Sus scrofa: one gene and its partner. Each later gene encodes a partner of the first gene's protein in a complex. Links are inferred from orthologs where the notes say so. Each region holds a gene or a part of one and is shown in the gene's direction. Other genes may lie near its edges. The genes, in order: PTPN3 and MAPK12.

Region 1 (8,811 bases):
CGCCAGCATGACAAGTGCCTCTTCACGGGCTCTCAGTGAGAGCTGTGAAGTCCTCAGGGTCTTGGTAATTTTCTGGGGTGTAAGAACCAGTGGTATGAAAAGCATCACACGGGAAATCCTGCCACTTTAACTTTCCTTAACCTTGCTTTTCTTCAGAGAAATGAGCTGTGCCCTGGCTTATGTTCCCAGTGCCCACCCCCCTTACAGGGATCTGAGGACGTGCATCTGTCTGCCGGTCCGTCAGTCTGTCTCTTTTCCCCCATCCCCTCTCAGGGGCAGACCACTTGCTTCTGTTCCCTCCTTCTCCCCTTTTCTTCACTCTGCACAGTTACCCCCCTCCACCAGGGACCCTGGGGGTGCCCCCCCTCCTCACCCACCAGGCTCTCCCTCAGTCATGCCTCACGTCCCACCCCAAGGGCCCCAAGGCAGGAGGAAGGCCACCTGGTTTGCCATCTTCACTCCCGGCATCCCTGAGCTGTGTCCAGCTGCCACCTTCTCCTTGCTTCTTGTCATTTGATGTCCTCCTCAGCATCTGTCTGTCCATCCTCCACGCTGAGCAGAACGCTACTGCAGCCTACAGGGCACGTCTGGACATGGTTGATCAGCCAAAAAAATATTGTCATGTTTAATAAATTACCATCTAAAAGTAACCTCTCCACCCCTACATAGAATATAGGATTGGGCACATAATGACTGTGAATATGTGATTTTTAGTGCCGTGAGCTGTTTTGGATTGACCGTTACGTTTTATACTAAAAAAGAAAACTAAAACCTTATATGATGTTTAATTACATTATAATGCTGTATCATGTAATTCTAAATTCAGGATTTAGAAATTAAGTAAATATAATGCATACAAAAATATATTGCAGTTTACTGAAAAGTTTGTCCTCTTCTGCTTTGTCACCTTGCTCTTCTGTTTACAGATCTTCACTCTTTCCGTGGCTCCCGTCTCCAGATTCTTCCAAATGTTTGAAGTATGAATGCTATTTGCAGCTTCAGGTTAAAGGCTCAGATCCACCTCTAGTGCTAGAAATAGCATTTCCTAAACCCCTTTGGCTTTATCTTGTTTAGCAACTGCCACGTTTCCCTTTATGCCACTGGGAGGCGCTCTTGTAAACATCAAAACAGCAAAGCTGCTCTTCTTGGGGAGACTTTTTTAAGCTTCGTTTTAGTAAATTAAAGTCTTATTTAGACTAGTATATAGCTTCCATTCCAAAATGTAATGCCTTCTGTAATGTAATGCCCTCTGTAATGCCTTCCCATACATAACACCCCTTGACTGGTAACTTGAAAACCTTAAGGCCAATCTCTTCTCTTGCAAGAAGTGCTCTGTTTCTACACTGGTCTGTCACTGAATGTTTGTATTCAAATGAATGGAGCTTGTGAATCATTCTGTGTGACTATGATATGGGTTTTACATCTAAAGTAAGCTAATTTTGGAGCTCCTTTCATGACGAACCCGACTAGGATCCATGAAGATGCAGGTTTCATCCCTGGCCTCGCTCAGTGGGTTAAGGATCCGACGTTGCCACGAGCTGTGGTGTAGGTCGCAGGCGCAGCTCGGATCCCAAGTTGTTGTGGCTGTGGCTGTGGCGTAGGCTGGCAGCTATAGCTCCAATTCAACCCCTAGCCTGGGAACCTCCATATGCTGCAAGTGTGGCCCTAAAAAGCAAAAAAAAAAAAAAAAAAAAAAAAAAGGTAAGCTAATTTGAACTTACTAAGAGACAGAGGAGCACTGTTTTAATGAACACTCCATGGATAAGGACCTGAAATAAAGGTTTGTCTTTTCTCTGTTTGTTTCACTGAATGTCTTGTCTACTTACCTTTCCTATCACTTAACCTTGAATGAGATGAGAATGTGGAGGAGTCTATGGAACTCAAGGCCAGCCCTTATTCTGTAGGCGGTTTAAGGCATCTTTTGTGAGGCCCGTGGCTCTGGAGGGGGTCCAGCGTGGGTGTGCGTGATGCAGAGAAGCTGCGTGTCCTGTACGGTTAGGTCCTGTGAGGTTAGAAAAAAGGGTCTTAGGAGCAGATGTGGATGGCCTGGAGAGGAGAGGGGTCCTCGGGGACTCATGGTCTTCAGACTTCTGTTTGTCAGGTGAGGGGAAAGCCGTGTGACCTTGGGCAAGTCACTCGGCATCTCTCTCTCTTTTTTTTTTTTTTTTTTTTTTTTTTTGGCTTTTTAGGGCCACACCCACGGCACATGGAAGGTCCCAGGCTAGGGTTCGAATCAGAGCTATAACCACTGGCCTACGCCACAGCCACAGCAGCACCAGATCTGAGCCGCGTCTGTGACCTACACGGCAACGCCGGATCCTTAACCCACTGAGCGAGGCCAGGGATCAAACCTGCAACCTCATGGTTCCTAGTCAGATTTGTTTCCCCTGCACCACAAGGGGAACTCCCCCACTCGGTGCCTCTTGACCAATTTCTCCATCTGCGAAATGGGAGCTGGACCAGATGACCACAGAGGTCTGTTCAGTTCTAATAGTCCATAATTCTTGAAGACAACACCACCCAGTAGAACTTCCTGCAATGATGGACGTGTTCTCTAACTGCGCTGTTAGGCGTTCTTGTTGTGGTGCAGTGGAAATGAATCTGAGTAGTATCCATGAGGATGCAGCTTCGATCCCTGACCTCACCAGTGGGTCAGGGACCTGGTGTTACTGTGAGCTGTGGTGCAGGTCACACACTGGCTCAGATCTGGTGTGGCTGTGGCTGTGGCTGTGGCTGGCACCTATGGCTCTGCTTTAACCCCTAGCCTGGGAACTTCCATATGCCACAAGGAAAAAGCTTTTAGAGGGCATGGAGCAACATGCATCTAAATGAGTTTCAAAAATTAACCACCAGGGGGTTCCCATCGTGGCACAGTGGAAACGAATCCGACTAGGAACCGTGAGGTTGAGGGTTCAATTCCTGGCCTTGCTTAGTGGGTTAAGGATCTGGCGTTGCCGTGAGCTGTGGTTGTAGGTCACAGACGCGTCTCTGATCTGGCGTTGTTGTGGCTCTGGCGTAGGCCAGCAGCAACAGCTCCAATTAGATCCCTAGCATGGGAACCTCCATATGCCACGGTTGCGGCCCTATGAAAACAAAAGACCAAAAAAAAAAAAAAAAAAAAAAAAATTAAGCACCAGACTAGCTGGGCATGTTTCCCCATGACCCTTCTGAGGCAGCTGAGTTTTCAGCAGTTCCTGGCACTGCCCTGCCCTCCTGCCCCCTTTCCCCCAAACTAACAGTGATGATATTTAGGCCAGATGGGGGCATGAGTAGCCCGTGGACTCTTGGTGTGCCCGAGCCCTGGACTTGACCGTTGCAGTGCTTCTAAGGTTCCAAGGATTGGTGACAGCCATGAGATGCTAGGACCCACAGTCAGAAATGTTTGCCCTGATAAAATAGTCATCCAGTTATTAATACATCCCTTCCTTCCCCACAACGAAGGAGCATATCCGAGAACAACGCAGCACACGGCTGCCTGACCCAGAAGTCATCCAGTTCTGCATCTCCATCTTCCAACGCTCCAGGCTCCTGCTCCCCGGATGGCGTCGATCAGCAGTTCTTAGAGGACTTCCACAGGGTGACTAAAGGCGGCTCCACTGAGGACTCCAGCCAGTACTACTGTGATAAGGTGTGCCAGCCGACCCCGCGGGCTTCCTGTGTGTGTGTGTGGGGGGGTGCCTCACGGGCCAGTGAGTGGTTGTGACTCCAAGAAAGTAGCTTCGAACCACCCACCGGAGAGGGAAATCACCTAATGGATGATTTTCCATCATTTTCCAGAACGACGGTGACGGCTACTTAGTCTTGATCCGCATCACGCCTGATGAAGAGGGGAAATTTGGATTTAATCTAAAGGTACGTTGTGTGTGATTTCAAAGAACGTTTTGTGCTCTGAAGCCCCCTCTAGGCGACGTTCTAACTTCTATCAGAAATGTACCACCCACCTCCTCAGGCTGCATGAGGAAATCGGCTCAGCCCTCAGAACTGGAGGCTCTTTATGTGGCCACGGCAGCTGCCTCCTATCAACTGCCTGGTCTGTGCTTGGTGTCTGCCGTGTACTTATTAAATCACCTTATTGAATTCTTCTATTAAGCGCAGAAGTTGGTGTGTTTAAGCCTATTTTAAAACCCACTAAGGCTCAGAGAGATGGGACCCCCTCAGCATTGCCAGGAGAGAGCCATGGTTCAAGTCCAGAGCCATCTCCCCCTTCTGTGTCTCTGCAAACTGTGGCCTGTGGACCAAGTCCCATCTGTTTTTATAAATAAAGTTTTATTAGAACACAGCCACACCCATTTACTCACAAATGGTTTATGACTCCCTTGGGACTTGGGTAGCAGAGTTGAGGAGATGTGACAGAGCCCTTTGTCCCTTTGCAGAAAATGTTTACCAGCCCCTCCTGAGAGCACAGTGAGGGCAGGTGGCCTTTGCTGCCCACCCCACAGCTGTCATCACACACTCTTTTCTGATACCGTAGCAGCCCTTCTGGCAACCCGTTCTCAGCAGTCAGAAGCCCTCACAGCTTGACACCTTTCTACAGCTTCTCTCTCCTCCCCTGAAGACTCCCTTTCCAGCAGCACTTAGAAGCTTTGCTCTCGGAGTCCTTCTCCCGGGGATATGTGCAGTTTTTGCAAGGAGCCTTGTTCTTCCAAGTACATCTTTAGTCGGGGGAAGGTGGGGATGGCAGTGGGAAGCTTCTGAGCAGCCTTCTGGCCAGTCCAGTAGACCAGGGGGTCAGAAACCATGTCATTCTGAAAGTCGCCAACCCCTGGGATTAGAATGGGTTAAGGTGAAGATTTGAGCCCTCCCTTGTGTTAGAGATATCTGCCTGTCTTTGTTGCTGTGAACGACCCAAGTGTTTTTTTTTTTTTTCTTTTTAATGTACATATTTACAGGGAGGAGTGGATCAAAAAATGCCTCTTGTGGTATCAAGGATAAACCCAGAGTCACCTGTAAGTAAATGTGTTCCATTATTTCCCAAGTTTGCTTTCCCCTAGATGTAAAAGATTTCCATTTTCTGTGTCCTGCTTCTTTCTTACCCGCAGCAGAGAGTGTGTGTAAGCTCACTCATGTAGATGGGAAGAAAGAATGGCACCCGTGTTTTCCAGCACCTTGCTGCTCAGGGTGGTCCCCGAAGCTGCAGCACTGTCACCTGAGAGCTCATTAGAAATGCAGACTCTCGGGCCCCACCCCCGACCTCCTGGACCAGAATCTGCATTTTTAACAAGATCTCCAGGTGATCAGTGTGCAGGTTAAAATGTAGAAGGCCCCTCAAGAGACGGAAACTGGAGCCTAGAGTTTGCTGTTCTGCTCGCTCTGAGTGGGCTCGTGGGTCATTCAGCCCTTGTGCCCCTTCCTGTGTCTGGGCCTCTAGGCAGCTAAGAGATAATTAGCCTTTTTTTTTTTTTTTTTTTTTTTTTTTTTTTTGTCTGCCTTTTCTAGGGCCACTCCTGTGACATATGGAGGTTCCCAGGCTAGGGGTCGAATCAGAGCTGCAGCCGCCGGCCTACGCCAGAGCCACAGCAACGCGGGATCCGAGCCACATCTGCAACCTACACCACAGCTCACGGTAACGCCGGATCCTTAACCCACTGAGCAAGGCCAGGGATTGAACCCGCAGCCTCATGGTTTCTAGTCAGATTCGTTAACCACTGCGCCACGACAGGAACTCCTGATTGGCCTTTTTAAAGCAGTGAGCACCAGAGAGACCCCATGCTTCCTAAGAAGGTACCCGTTTGAAGGTTTTACTCTTAAGTAGCCTTTAAGCTTGTGGTCGACTTTTTCCTAACTGCGTGTGGCCTCTGCGTGTTAAGAAGGCTTTTATTCCCACACGGTTCAGAGCATCACTTCTCTCCATAATGGTTTCTGCCCTTGGGGTTGTGCTTGCAAAGGCTTTCTCCATCACCAGGTAGAAAATTGTCATGTTCAGCCGACAGATCATTTTCTAACAGCACATCTAGAAAACGAAGGATGGAGGCCTCGTTGCCGTTATGACATTACAGTAGTAAGTGCAGACTGGCTACCGTAGAGAAATGACCTCCGTCTTTTTCTTAGCCTTATTCTGCCGTGGTTCATAACTGAGGTCCTTCTTTAAAACCCCACAACCAGCTACCATGTCAACACAGCAGTGGCTGTAAGAATAAAGAAGGGAATGCCTGAGGGAGAGAAGGAGCACTTGGTCACGGTCCCAAGTGTCCGGGCTCAGAAAGCATCGGGTTCATCCCCTGAGGCGTGCGTTATGGTAACGGAAGAAACTCGCCTCTCTCTTTCCCCGCACGCAGGCGGACACCTGCATTCCTAAGCTGAACGAAGGGGATCAAATCGTGCTGATCAACGGCCGGGACATCTCCGAACACACCCATGACCAAGTGGTGATGTTCATCAAAGCCAGCCGGGAGTCACACACGCGGGAGCTGGTCCTGGTGATCCGGAGGAAAGGTAAGGGCCACCCACGGAGAGGCGCCTTAGCGAAGAGGGCCTTCTCCCGCCCCTTCCGAGGTGTTGAGATGTTGAGCTCGTAGCCAACATCGGACAAGCCAGACCTTTCCCATGACAACCTGCTGGCTGACTTTTCACTTGAAAAATGTGGAGACCTGCCCACCCAACACCCTACCCCTCATGGCCAGTGCTCGGCAAGTAGGCAGCACCCACCCCCTTTTATACAGGGCACGAGCCCCGCGTTCCTCCCAGCCGGACTCAGCCCACATCGTGCACCCCGCTTAGCTGCCTGGCCCCGTCTGCCTTTGCATAATCATCCCCATCTCAGCAGATCAGGTTATATTTTATTCATGTGCATTTGGTTTTGTTGGAGAGACAGTAAGCTGAGTAGGGCAGGAGGCTGACTGCCTTGGGGCTGTTCTAACCCTGCCTCCTACTGGGCCCAGGGACCTTGCCCAGTAGGAGTTTCTTGCCCAGTCTGTCTCCGTTTCCACTAAAGTAAAATGAGGATAACACAGTTGCTGCCTCTGGATTCCTGTGAAGATTCAGTAATACTCATACTGAAAAGCAACAAGGACGCTGCCCCGTACTTGGTGGGCATTTGAAGGGCAGCCTCTGTTGAATACTATTACTGTTGTTGTGGTGGTGGTGGTTGTTATAAAGCAGTTAGCCTTGGATCCTCCTGCCCGGCTTCAAATACTGAAGGTAAATGAAGTATGTGGCTCAAGCCCTGGCCCTGCATCCCTGTTGTGGCCTCACTGCCTTCTCTGTTCCCGGTGATGCTCCCAGTGCCAGCTCTCACCCCACCTCCTCCGTGAGGGCCCCACCTGATCTCTCCAAAACCCTTCCCACCTCGTCTCACCCCATCCCCTCCAAACCCAGCTCCATGCTGGGCACACAGTAGGTATCACTCGTGACAGTGGCTGATGTCTCTGCAGCACCAGCAGAGGGCCTACACCATGTCAATTGCTTTACTAATTATCCCATTCAATTCTTAAAATGTTCTCGTAGGTTAGTGTTATTATCTCTAAATGGGAACAGCAGTCACGGAGAGGTTAAGTTGCCCTGCTGCCATGTGTCTGGTGAGGCCCCATGATAATAGGGACGGAAGGAATCCAGCAGTTGGGAGCAGACCTCTCTATCACATGCAGTGCCCTGTGACCCGCTGGCCAAATCTGGGGTTCTTCCCAGGAGCACCCTGGCCAAGCCAGGGAGGGGGCCCACCACCAGCCCATGGCAAGGGGCCAGTGTCTGTAGCAGAAACTAATGGAGCCCCATTCGACCTTACAGAAGAAGAATCAGAACTTGTATCAGGCTTTAATGTATAATACGCTTTGAGGTGAGAAAAACAGATACTTGTAGACTAGTAGAGCCTAAAGGGAAGTGCATAAAAGGTTTCCTGTAACTGTAATGAAAGTAAGTTCTTTTTTTTTTTTTTTTTTTGTCTTTTTAGGGCCACACCTGCAGCATATGGAAGTTCCCAGGCTAGAGGTCAAATTGGAGCTGAAGCTGCCAGCCTATGCCACAGCCACACCAGATCCAAACCATGTCTGTAACCTACACCATAGCTCACAGAAACGCTGGATCCTTAACCCACTGAGCAAGGCCAGGGATCAAACCCTCATCCTCATGGATGTGAGTCGGGTTTGTTACTCCTGAGCCACGGGATGGGAACTCCAGTGAGTTCATTTTAAAAATAAACATTTAAGTAAAAAATGATTGAAAGAAAAATAAGTAAATAGTAACGGGACGGGGCGGGGGAGCACATATGACAAAACCCACAAAAATAAGTAGAAGAACTGAGCTTCTTTGGTCAGTGAAAAGAATGTGGTCTTTCGGGTCAGCCAGATGTGGACTTAAAACTCTTGCCCTTTGAATCAGTTTCCTCATCTGCAAGATGGGAATAATGACACCTGCTTCAGTACTGTGAGGATTCAGTTCAACTCTGTGGGAAAACCCAAAGTTGTTGCCTCCTTCTTTCCTGTTATCTTGAAGGCAGTAGGGAGCCATTGAAGGCTATTGCGAAAGGGAGTGACTTCTGTTTCTGGGTAGAAAGGGAAAAATTCAGAGATGAGCTCAAAGTCTTCCCTTTAAGAGAGTGGAGAAGGAAGTGACATAGACAGAAAGAAGCATATGAGGCCGGGACGTATTGTGCATGGTGGGGAAGGAAGGGCCCTTGGCCTTTTTTTTTTTTAACCCATATTGAGTCTGCATGAAGGGAGAATTTGTTCCAAAGAGGAAACACAGACTAGAGATGTTTATCTGGGCGGCCTCCCTCCTAACAGTGGCCTGAGTTAGAGACACCACCTGAGCTCTGTGGGACAGTGGCAGTGTGGAGAGAGCACCAGACCCCACACCAGTTTCTGGGAAAATGCCTGT
Region 2 (9,387 bases), on another chromosome or scaffold:
GTGCCAGGCGCTGAGCGACGAGCACGTTCAGTTCCTCGTGTACCAGCTGCTGCGCGGGCTGAAGGTGGGCTCAAGGGAGGGGGGCGGGCCGGGCCGCACGAGAGCGGAAGCTGACGCCCGCGTCTCCCCTCGGCAGTACATCCACTCGGCGGGGATCATCCACCGGGTAGGTGCAGGCGGCGAGGGCGGGGCTCCTGCCCAGGCTGCGTTCCTCGCTCACGCCGCTCTGGCCGCCCGCCCTGCAGGACCTGAAGCCCAGCAATGTGGCCGTGAACGAGGACTGCGAGCTGCGGGTGAGCCACAGGGGCCGGGCCAGACTGGCGGGCGGGAAGGGGAGACCCAGAGGCACCAACAGCCCCGGGGGTCCCCGCAGATCCTGGACTTCGGGCTCGCGCGCCAGGCCGACGAGGAGATGACTGGCTACGTGGCCACTCGCTGGTACCGTGCCCCCGAGATCATGCTGAACTGGATGCATTACAACCAGACAGGTGACATCAGCCGGCGGCCTGCGGAGGGCGCAGTGGGACCCGGAGGCCAAGGCTCTCTGGGGGTGGGGGGGTGGCTGAGGGGCCTCTGGGCGGGTGCAGTCCCAGCTGCCTCTCCAAGGCGGGGCCTCGGGTGGGCAGGCTAATGGGGACGCCTCCTCTCACAGTGGACATCTGGTCTGTGGGCTGCATCATGGCCGAGCTGCTCCAGGGAAAGGCCCTCTTCCCAGGAAATGACTGTATCCTTGGCCCGGTTAGGGAGGAGGGTTGAGCCAGGGCCCCCTCCTGCCGGGTGGGGGTCGAGGGAGGTGGGCTCTGGCCCTTTCTGGCCAGTCTCGCCTCCTCTGCCCCCGCCATGTCGCCTTGGGCTCACTGTCCCCCAGCTATAGGAGAGCAGGCTCCTGGCAGTGCCCCAGGTCTTGGGTCTGGGCTCCTGGGGAGGGTCCATGCCCGGCTGCCGGCCCTTTCCTGAGCCAAGCAGACATCGACCAGCTGAAGCGCATCATGGAGGTGGTGGGCACACCCAGCCCTGAGGTTCTAGCGAAGATATCCTCGGAACACGTGAGTCGTCGGCCACCGGCTCCCTCTGCTGACCAAGCCCCTGGGCACTCCAGAGGAAGGGGCGCTGTGGGAATAGGTGCCCCGTGTGGGGAGCACGGCTCACGGTGGAATAGACCTCAAGGCAGGCACCTGACCCCTTCGGGGATTCCTGGCGTGAGGGCCAGGGAGGGTAAAATCTCGGCATGCCCTGGCCAGGGCAGTGGAGTGGCACCAGGCCCAGGTCCTCCAGACATCGGGGCCGGGCGAGGGGCTGGAGCTGCCAGATCCAGAGTGGGAAGGTCTCTGGTCAGCACCTGCCCTTGCTCAGGCCTGTTGGAGTGAACGGGTCTGGGGGCTTCTCTTGGCAAGCCCCTGCCTGGCTGAGGCCCGGGGAGGTGGGCCCTGAGCAGCCCCCTCCACACGCCGCTAGGCCCGGGCGTACATCCAGTCGCTGCCCCCCGTGCCCCAGAAGGATCTCAGGAGCATCTTCCGTGGCGCCAACCCCCTGGGTGAGCGTGGGCCCTGGGGCATGGGCTGCACGTCTCGCCCGGACGTGGCGCTGACCCCCCGGGCCACCCCGCAGCTGTGGACCTCCTGGGAAGGATGCTGGTGCTGGACAGTGACCAGAGGGTCAGCGCGGCCGAGGCCCTGTCGCACGCCTACTTCAGCCAGTACCACGACCCGGAGGATGAGCCGGAAGCAGAGCCCTACGATGAGAGCATCGAGGCCAAGGAGCGCACGGCGGAGGAGTGGAAGGGTGGGTGGGGGTGGGGCCGTGGGCCCCTTGGGCCGGGCGCTGCCTGTTTTCTGCACAGAGTGCTCCAGTTCCTCTGGAGAGTGGTCTGGGTGGGTGACAAGGTGCCCCCGCCCCACTCCAGGGGTCTGGTGTGTCCATCGGAGGCTCAGAGGCAACGCAAGGCAGGCCCAGGAAGGAGCCCAAGCGCCTGGGCTGCTGGGGGCCTGAACTCACCCTTCCGCTCCCCCCGCAGAGCTCACCTACCAGGAGGTCCTCAGCTTCAAGCCCCCGGAGCCACCGCGGCCACCTGGCAGCCTGGAGGTTGAGCAGTGAGGCGACCTCAAGGCAGGGCCTGAGCCGGCCTGCCCCCTCCCTCAGCCTGCCTCCCAGGACCCCTTGTCTATGCGACACTCCTTGGGGCAAGTTTGCACGCTTGGATGCTCATGTGTGAGCCACCGACGTGGGAGTCTGGGCAGAGCTGTCAGGACTTCCTTGGTCCCCGACCCGCTCCCAGCAACCTGAGTCTCCCTCGGGACCTCACTGTGGGGGACCTGGGTGCCCTAGCACCCCCCGGGGATGGTGTCTGTTTCCAGTCTCCTGAGCCGAAGAGGGCTGTCGCATGGTCGGCGGGGCGGGGGGGGTGGTGCTTTGGGGCCCAGCCTCCTGGAGACAAAAGTCTGGGTGGTCAGAGCCGCTCAGCGGGAAGGGGCTGCCCTGCAAAGTGCTGAGCCGAATCTTCCCTGGGGGGCAGGTGGGGACAGCTGCCTGGAGCCATGTGTTCACCTGTGCTATCTTGGGCACACCTGGGATTCACATGTCAAAGCAGATGCAGGCATGTGTGGACCTGAGGGCATCCAAAGGCCAGCGACCATGACCAGCAGGAGGCCCAAGTTGGGGCGGCAGTGGCAGTGGCTCACTATTGCCCACCCCCCCAGGTCCTGGGGTGGGAGCCGTGCTGCCGGCCAGGGGCGAGGTGACCAGGGTCAGCCATGTGAGCAAAAGGATCCTGTCTCCTTGGGCATGGGATCTGCAGCAGGTTCCAGAGGCCCGAGGGCACCATGCCAGCTGGGGGGCTGGCAGGCCTGGGGGCTCCAGCATGGAGGACCCACACTCTGGTATGGACTCGGATCCTGGCCCCTGGCCCAGAGCTCCTGAAGAAAACCTCTGCCCGCTCTACGTCTGCAGGGCAGCCCTGTCTTGCCCCTCCAGGGTGCAGCTGACCTCCAGCCTCTGCTCGAAATGCACTGGGGGTGCAGGTCCTCCCTCAAGGGGCTTCTCTGTCAGGCGGGCTGGGGGGTGACCCCTGGCCTTGCGGGATCAGGGAGATCTGAATGTCAAGTGCCTGCCCCAGGGTTTCACAATAAAAGGGGTCCTCTCTCGCTCAGCTTGTGTCTTGGGCTCCAGGGCCTGCTGCCCGCTGTCCCCACGGCCTGGAGGGATGGCCCCATTCTTCCAGTCCTTGGACAGACAAGCAGCGGTCTCAGCATCTTCCCTGCTCGCTGAGAGTGAGGGATGCTGTCTGTCCTGCCGGGGTTTACTGCACGGGCTCTGGTCCAGATCCAGACCTGCCCCCTCACCCAGTGGTCAGGGAAGACGTGGGGGGCAGCGGGGGTCTCTGAGAGCAAAGGCCTGCCCCTCCCAGGGCCAGGGAGATGGCGGGCTGCTTCAGCCCACAGGCACACCCCCAGGGGGAATCAGGCAGGGTATCCGCAGGACAGGGACAGCCTATGTCTCTGCCTAGGCCTTGGGGTGCAGACCACTGGGGAGGTGGGCCTCCAGAGGCCTGGGTGGTGCGGGTACTGGGCTTCTGGTCCTGGAAAACCCCTGGAGACCAGGCTGGGTCCAGTCCTGGGCGGGGGGCCGGGGGCGAACAGGAGCAGAACTGGGACATGCCTCACCGGGGAGTCTGGTCTGACGCAGAAACCTCTGGACTGCTGGGGGCTTCCTGGAGGAGGCAGGCAGAGTGCCACAGGCAGCCCAGGGCATGAAGCACCTGGGGAGAGGCGGTGGTGGCTCCAGTGACCCCAGGCTGCTCCCACTGACCAGCCGGCCACTCCAGAGCGCCCAGATGCCCTCGGCAGCCCAGGTGTAAAGCTGCTCTGGCCAGGCCTGAGCTGCTCAGCTGCTGATTCATGGTGCAGGGCACAGAGGGCGGGGCAGGGGGCCCTGGGGATCTTCTTACCCCACTCTCTCTCCCGCCTGGGTCACTGGGCTAGGGCAGGACAAGGAAAGGACTGGGGGCTCTGTCCTCCAGGAGCAGCGGGTCAAGGAGGGGCCAAACCCATGAAATGATGAAGCCCCCACCTGGGGCGGGGCACTGAGAGGCCCCTTCACCCCTGGGGTCAGGCACACCTTCCTGGAGAGAGAGAGGAGGCTCCCGCTGGCCTTTGAACAAACCAGAGGGCCTAGGCTGGGCAGGGGCAGGACAGGCAGAGGGACTTGCAACTGTGTGACTTGGGAGATGGAACCGACTTTTTCCTAGGGAAAGGGGGAAGGGGGAAGGCAGGTGCTGGGGACGGCGGAGCTGGGGCCGACCAGGCGGCGCGCTGGGGGGTGGACAGTGATCGGGGATGGGCTGGGCTGGAGGTTGCCCAGCTCCGGCGGGCCGCCCGCCGTGGGCCAGCGCCCCGGGGCGGTGCTTGCAGGCGGGAGACGCGGCCCCTGTTAAGATGCCTCCTCTCTGGAGGTCTGCGGGCTTCATCGCAAGGGCAGGGGCGGGCGCCGGGGGCTGGGCCGAGCCGGGGCGGCGGGCGCCGCTCCCCGTCCCCTCCGTCCCCTCCCCCGGCTCCGGCTCCGGCCTCCGGCGGGGCGGGCGGGCGGGCGGGCGGCCGCCTCAGGTTTCCGGAGGGGCCGGAGGGCGGGCGCGGCGTCACGTGCGCGCGGCCCCGGGGCCGGTTGGTGCGCCGGCCGGGGAGGGGCCGCGCTGTGCCCGGGCCGGGGTCGGCGGCTCCGGAGAGCTCGGAGGCAAGAGCCGGGAGCGGGGGAGCCCCGGCGGCGACGGGCGGCGCGGCGCGGCGCCGGCTCTGCCCCGCGCCGCGGCCAGGGGCGCGCGCCAGGGTGCCCCGCGGAACCCGGGCCCCGGGTCCTCGGGGCGCGGGGTCTGCGGCGGGGCGGTGCCCGGCCAGCCATGAGCGCCCCGGCGGCCGCCCGCAAGGGCTTTTACCGCCAGGAGGTGACCAAGACGGCCTGGGAGGTGCGCGTCGTGTACCAGGACCTGCAGCCCGTGGGCTCGGGCGCCTACGGCGCCGTGTGGTGAGCGCAGGCCGGGCGGGGGCCGGGCGGCGAGGCCGGCCCTCCCGCTAAGCGGTGCGTCCCGCAGCTCGGCGGTGGACACCCGCACCGGGGCCAAGGTGGCCATCAAGAAGCTGTACCGGCCCTTCCAGTCCGAGCTGTTCGCCAAGCGCGCCTACCGCGAGCTGCGCCTGCTCAAGCACATGCGCCACGACAACGTGAGTCGCGCGGTCGCCTCGGCTCCCCGCCCCCCCCCCCCGCCCCCGCGCCCGCGCCCGCCTGGCCCGCAGCCCCTCGGCGGCGGCGAGGCCCTGGAGAGGACTCCGGTCTGGTCTTTGGCTCCTTCCCGAGGCCACATCCGGCTCGTCCGCCCGGCCCAGGCCCCGGTCAGGGGACGACGTCCTCTTGCCCGGGGGCTCACTCCAGGTCCCGCCTCCAAGCAGGATCCCCGAGGCGAGAGGCGACCTCAGGTGGGGGGCGAGTCTCTGGAAGGGGCACCGTGTCTCTTCTGGGCACCCCTTCCTGAACCCGCTGTGCTCCCTCTACCTCCTGAGCCCCAGCCCTGGGAGCCCCGAGGGGGCCTGTGTGGGCCTTGGGGAGCTGGTGTGCGAAGGACACGGGGCACACGCCTTCCTCACGTCCAGCGGCGTGCATTTCACAGCCCTTGGGGTAGGGGCTGGACCCAGCCTCCGGCAGGGAAAAGTCTGTTGCGTCCGGAACTGCCTCAAGCCTCTCCTGGGAACGCTGCTGGCTGCTAAGAGCCCTTCCCTCTGCTGGGGGTGCTCCTGCTGTTTGCCTGTGGCCTTGAGCTCTGTCCCCTCCCACACAAGCCACCCCTGCCCAGTCTGAGGGCTGGTGATCTGGGCGCCCAGACCCCGACTGATCGTGGTGGTCTGGCACCTCCTGGCTCATCAGAACCACGAGAATGAGCCTCCGTGTCCACCAGGAAACTCACCCCTTGGCTCCTGACCAACGCCCACCTCTCAGCCCCTCGCAGAGAGGGTCCTTCTTTCTCTCAGACTCCTCTACCCTTGACCCTTCCCGGGTGGCACCCATTCACCAGCCCAGCCGGGCCTTTACTGCCTCTGGGTCACATCTGGTCACACTCAGGCTTGTCCTCTCCCAGAGTCCTCACCCGGCTTCTCCCCACCACCTGCTGCTCCAGTGCCGTCTCCAGGCCTTCTGTCCAGTTACCTCCCGCCCCGATCTGTACCAGTGGGTCCTTCTCCCAGGGGAGCCCCTGACCCACAGCGCGGAGCGCTGCAACCTGCAGGGCTGTTCCAAGAGCTTCCTAAACCCAGTTCCTAGGAGGAGCTAGGCTCGGTGAGGCCGAGTGGCACACCCGCGTGAGCTCCTCCGTCCTCCCCCCCCCCCCGCCCCGCCCCGCCCCGCCCCAGGCCCCGTCTGCACCGCAGAGGCCTAGAGATCTCCATCAACCTGATGGATACCACCTGCCCCCCCCCGCCATTCCTGCCAAAGCCTCCTCCCAGGGCCCTCGGCTCACCTGCCTCCAGGCCCCTCTGGATGTGCCACTCTGTCCCCTCCACCCCGCCCACATCTCTGGCTCTGGTGTCCGCTTTGGTCATCTAGCTGTCCCTCCACCCCCATCCACCTTCACCTCACTCTGGTTTGTCCCCATATAGCAGCCAGGGGACACATTCAGCATCTCACCGTCCTCAGTGGCTCTTAGGATCAAAGCAAACCTTCCCTGGTGTTCGAGGGCCTGCTCGGGTTCCCTTCGGCTTCTCCTTGGCTACTCCTTGGCCTGGTCCTTGGCCACCTGGCCTCTCTCCCGTGTTCCTCAAACGCACCAAGCAATTTCCCTCCTGCCCCGGCCATCATTTGCCTGGCCTCTGCCAGGTGTCCCCCTGCCAGCACATCCACCTGCTCCTCCAGCCACTCTGATTCTCAGCCTCCCAGGGTCCCTGGAGGCCTTGTCACTGGAACCCCAGGTAGCAGTTGTCACATTACCTGTCTGCTGTCCATCACCCCTGGTCAGAGGGCTGTCGATGTGGCCACAGTGTTGCCTGCCTGGGCCTCTGGCAGAGGCGCAGCCTCTCGAAGGAACTCTCCCCTGAGAGGCTGTCCCCACAGTGGTCCTGGGTCTTCAGTGGGGACAGCAAGAGGGGGAGGAAGGGCCATGGGGCTGGCGCTCCTTGGATGGCCTGGGAGCTGACCCAGACTTGGGGCCGCCCCTCCCCTGGAGGATCCTGGCTGTCACCATCCCAAAATAGCCTTTGTCCATGGGCGTGTGTGCCAGGGCTGGGTTGAGCTGCTGGTGGGCAAGAGCCAGGCCCTGAATGGTGGGGGGAGACCAGGCCAGTTGCAGGAGGCTTTCCTGCCCAGAGCAGGCTGTGTCTGAGCCCCCGTGTCCCCGGCCAACCTGGTGCTCTGGCCTCCTCCCCAGGTGATTGGACTGCTGGACGTGTTCACGCCTGATGAGACCCTGGATGATTTTACAGACTTGTGAGTGCCGCCTGGGGCTGGCCCGGCAGAGCAGGTGGTGTTGGGTGGCTCCTGGGTGTCAGCTTCAGGTTGGGGGTTGGCAGGGGGGTGGCTGGAGGCAGTACCGCTAGGTACTGCCTGATGGACCTGGGCCTCCTCCTCCAGTGCCAGTGGTGCCAGCCTTGGACCTGAGGATCTGTTAGCTAGTCCCGTGCTCTAGCACCCTGGCACTAAGTGTGTGGCCTGTAATTGGAGCCATTGACCTTTGCTGGTGGCAGGGGAGGGGCGCCACAGGGCACCCAGCGCTGCCCTGCTCTGCTGAGCCTGCCCCGCGGCTGCCCAGGAGGCCACCCCTGGACTCACACTGTTGTCAGCCAAGAGCCAAGGGCCAGGCCTGGGAAGGCCTGGGAAGGACAAGGACGCACACTGGCCTCTGTGTCCTGGCGGGCCGTTGTGTGTCTCTCCCTGTCTCTCTCCCTCCACCTGTCCAGCCCCGCCTCTGACCTAGATGTCCTGCTGTCCCACCTGCCCTCGGGCGCTTCCCTTCTCTCTCTTGCGCCCTCCCCGCCACCCCCAGCAGGCGAGCTCCCTTCAGGAAACCCCGAAGCACGGCCGTGACCTGCTGGGCTGCGTGGGGCCAGCAGGATGGGGCCCCGTGCAGGCCTGTGGGAGCTGGAGGCCGGGTGCTGCAGGGCGACAGGGTCGCCCGGGCCTGGGCCCCCAGGCGTGACACCTGCCATCTCTACCTGCCCGGTCCCTGCAGTTACCTGGTGATGCCGTTCATGGGCACCGACCTGGGAAAGCTCATGAAGCACGAGAAGCTGAGTGACGACCGAATCCAGTTCCTTGTCTACCAGATGCTGAAGGGGCTGAAGGTGGGGGGCCGTCACAGGGGGTGGAGCCCCGGGGCTGGGCCGGGGCTCTGAGGTCCCCCTGAGCTCACTGCCGCTGCCCACTCTGTCCACACAGTACATCCATGCTGCTGGTGTCATCCACAGGGTGAGTCCTGGCCCTCGAGCTCAGGGGCCTCCTTTCTCACTGGACGGGGCACAAGGCCTGCACACAGCCCTGGGCCCCACGCCCCTGCACCTCAGCGGCCTGGATGCTCCCATGGTCGGGCGCGGCCCAGGCCCTCCCCTTTGCACCCTGGCGGGCGGGCGGGCGGGGGTGCTGCACAGCCGTCTTTTGTTCGCAGGACCTGAAGCCTGGCAACCTGGTGGTGAATGAGGACTGTGAACTGAAGGTGTGTGCCAACTGGGGGCTCGGGCCTCCCTCAACCTGCCCTGCTGCTTGCCGTGCCCTCAGCCCTTGGCCTGCAGGAGGCCTGGCACAGGCACTGGCAAGCAGTTGATGGGCAGATGGGCCCTGCGGGACCTTGCTGGTGGGGAATGTGTGCCCGGCTCCCTGGGCTTGAGCCAGGGCTGGGCTGAGGAGGCCTCCCCAGAGGTGGCGCCAGGCCCTGCAGGGTTAGCGGGGAGAGGAGGGCAGGGAAGGAGACCCCTCTGGGGTGCCTGGTCTAGGATTTGGGGTGACTGGCTGTGGGGAGGCACCGAAGGGGAGGCTTAGGGGTACGTGGCTGTGACCTCAGAGCCCAGAGGGTGTCCTGGAGACCCTGGTGTGCCCAGTCCTCTTCGGGTCTCCTGGGCCGCAAGCTGCCCTCGCCCCCCCACCCCTGGTGCCCCACCTTCCCGATTCTGCCCATAGATCCTGGACTTCGGCCTGGCCAGACAGGCCGACAGCGAGATGACTGGGTATGTGGTGACGCGCTGGTACCGGGCACCTGAGGTCATCTTGAATTGGATGCGCTACACGCAGACGGGTGAGGAACGCCGGAGGCTCAGGGCCTCCCCGCCCCAGCCTCCAAGCCGCCCTGCCTGCGCCCCTGCTGTTGGGGGCCTGCCGAGCTGGGCTGCGGCGGGCGGGGCCGGGCGGGCTGATGGCACCTGTGGC

Evidence for each region.
Region 2: the proteins of PTPN3 (region 1) and MAPK12 are in contact, whole or in part, in a crystal structure (PDB 4QUM), measured with the Homo sapiens proteins. The link is inferred for Sus scrofa from reciprocal best matches to the Homo sapiens genes PTPN3 and MAPK12. Residues at the interface, in NP_002820.3 of Homo sapiens: Arg655, Leu671, Asn674, Arg675, Tyr676, Lys677, Asp678, Val679, Arg751, His812, Ser843, Ala844, Gly845, Ile846, Gly847, Arg848, Met883, Gln886, Thr887; in NP_002960.2 of Homo sapiens: Met182, Thr183, Gly184, Tyr185, Val186, Val187, Arg189.

The regions. Positions count from the first base shown.
Region 1 is NC_010443.5:250,447,864-250,456,674, reverse strand, and holds part of PTPN3 (tyrosine-protein phosphatase non-receptor type 3), read left to right. Parts: intron 1-3,441; coding exon 3,442-3,628; intron 3,629-3,777; coding exon 3,778-3,852; intron 3,853-4,889; coding exon 4,890-4,946; intron 4,947-6,275; coding exon 6,276-6,432; intron 6,433-8,811.
Region 2 is NC_010447.5:424,959-434,345, forward strand, and holds the start of MAPK12 (mitogen-activated protein kinase 12), read left to right. Parts: upstream 1-4,676; 5' UTR 4,677-4,888; coding exon 4,889-5,013; intron 5,014-5,080; coding exon 5,081-5,210; intron 5,211-7,399; coding exon 7,400-7,458; intron 7,459-8,200; coding exon 8,201-8,312; intron 8,313-8,406; coding exon 8,407-8,436; intron 8,437-8,632; coding exon 8,633-8,680; intron 8,681-9,141; coding exon 9,142-9,256; intron 9,257-9,387. Other genes in the region: MAPK11 (mitogen-activated protein kinase 11), read left to right, coding at 1-64, 137-166, 246-293, 374-488, 653-724, 967-1,046, 1,609-1,782, 2,015-2,212. UniProt on the Homo sapiens protein: Serine/threonine kinase which acts as an essential component of the MAP kinase signal transduction pathway.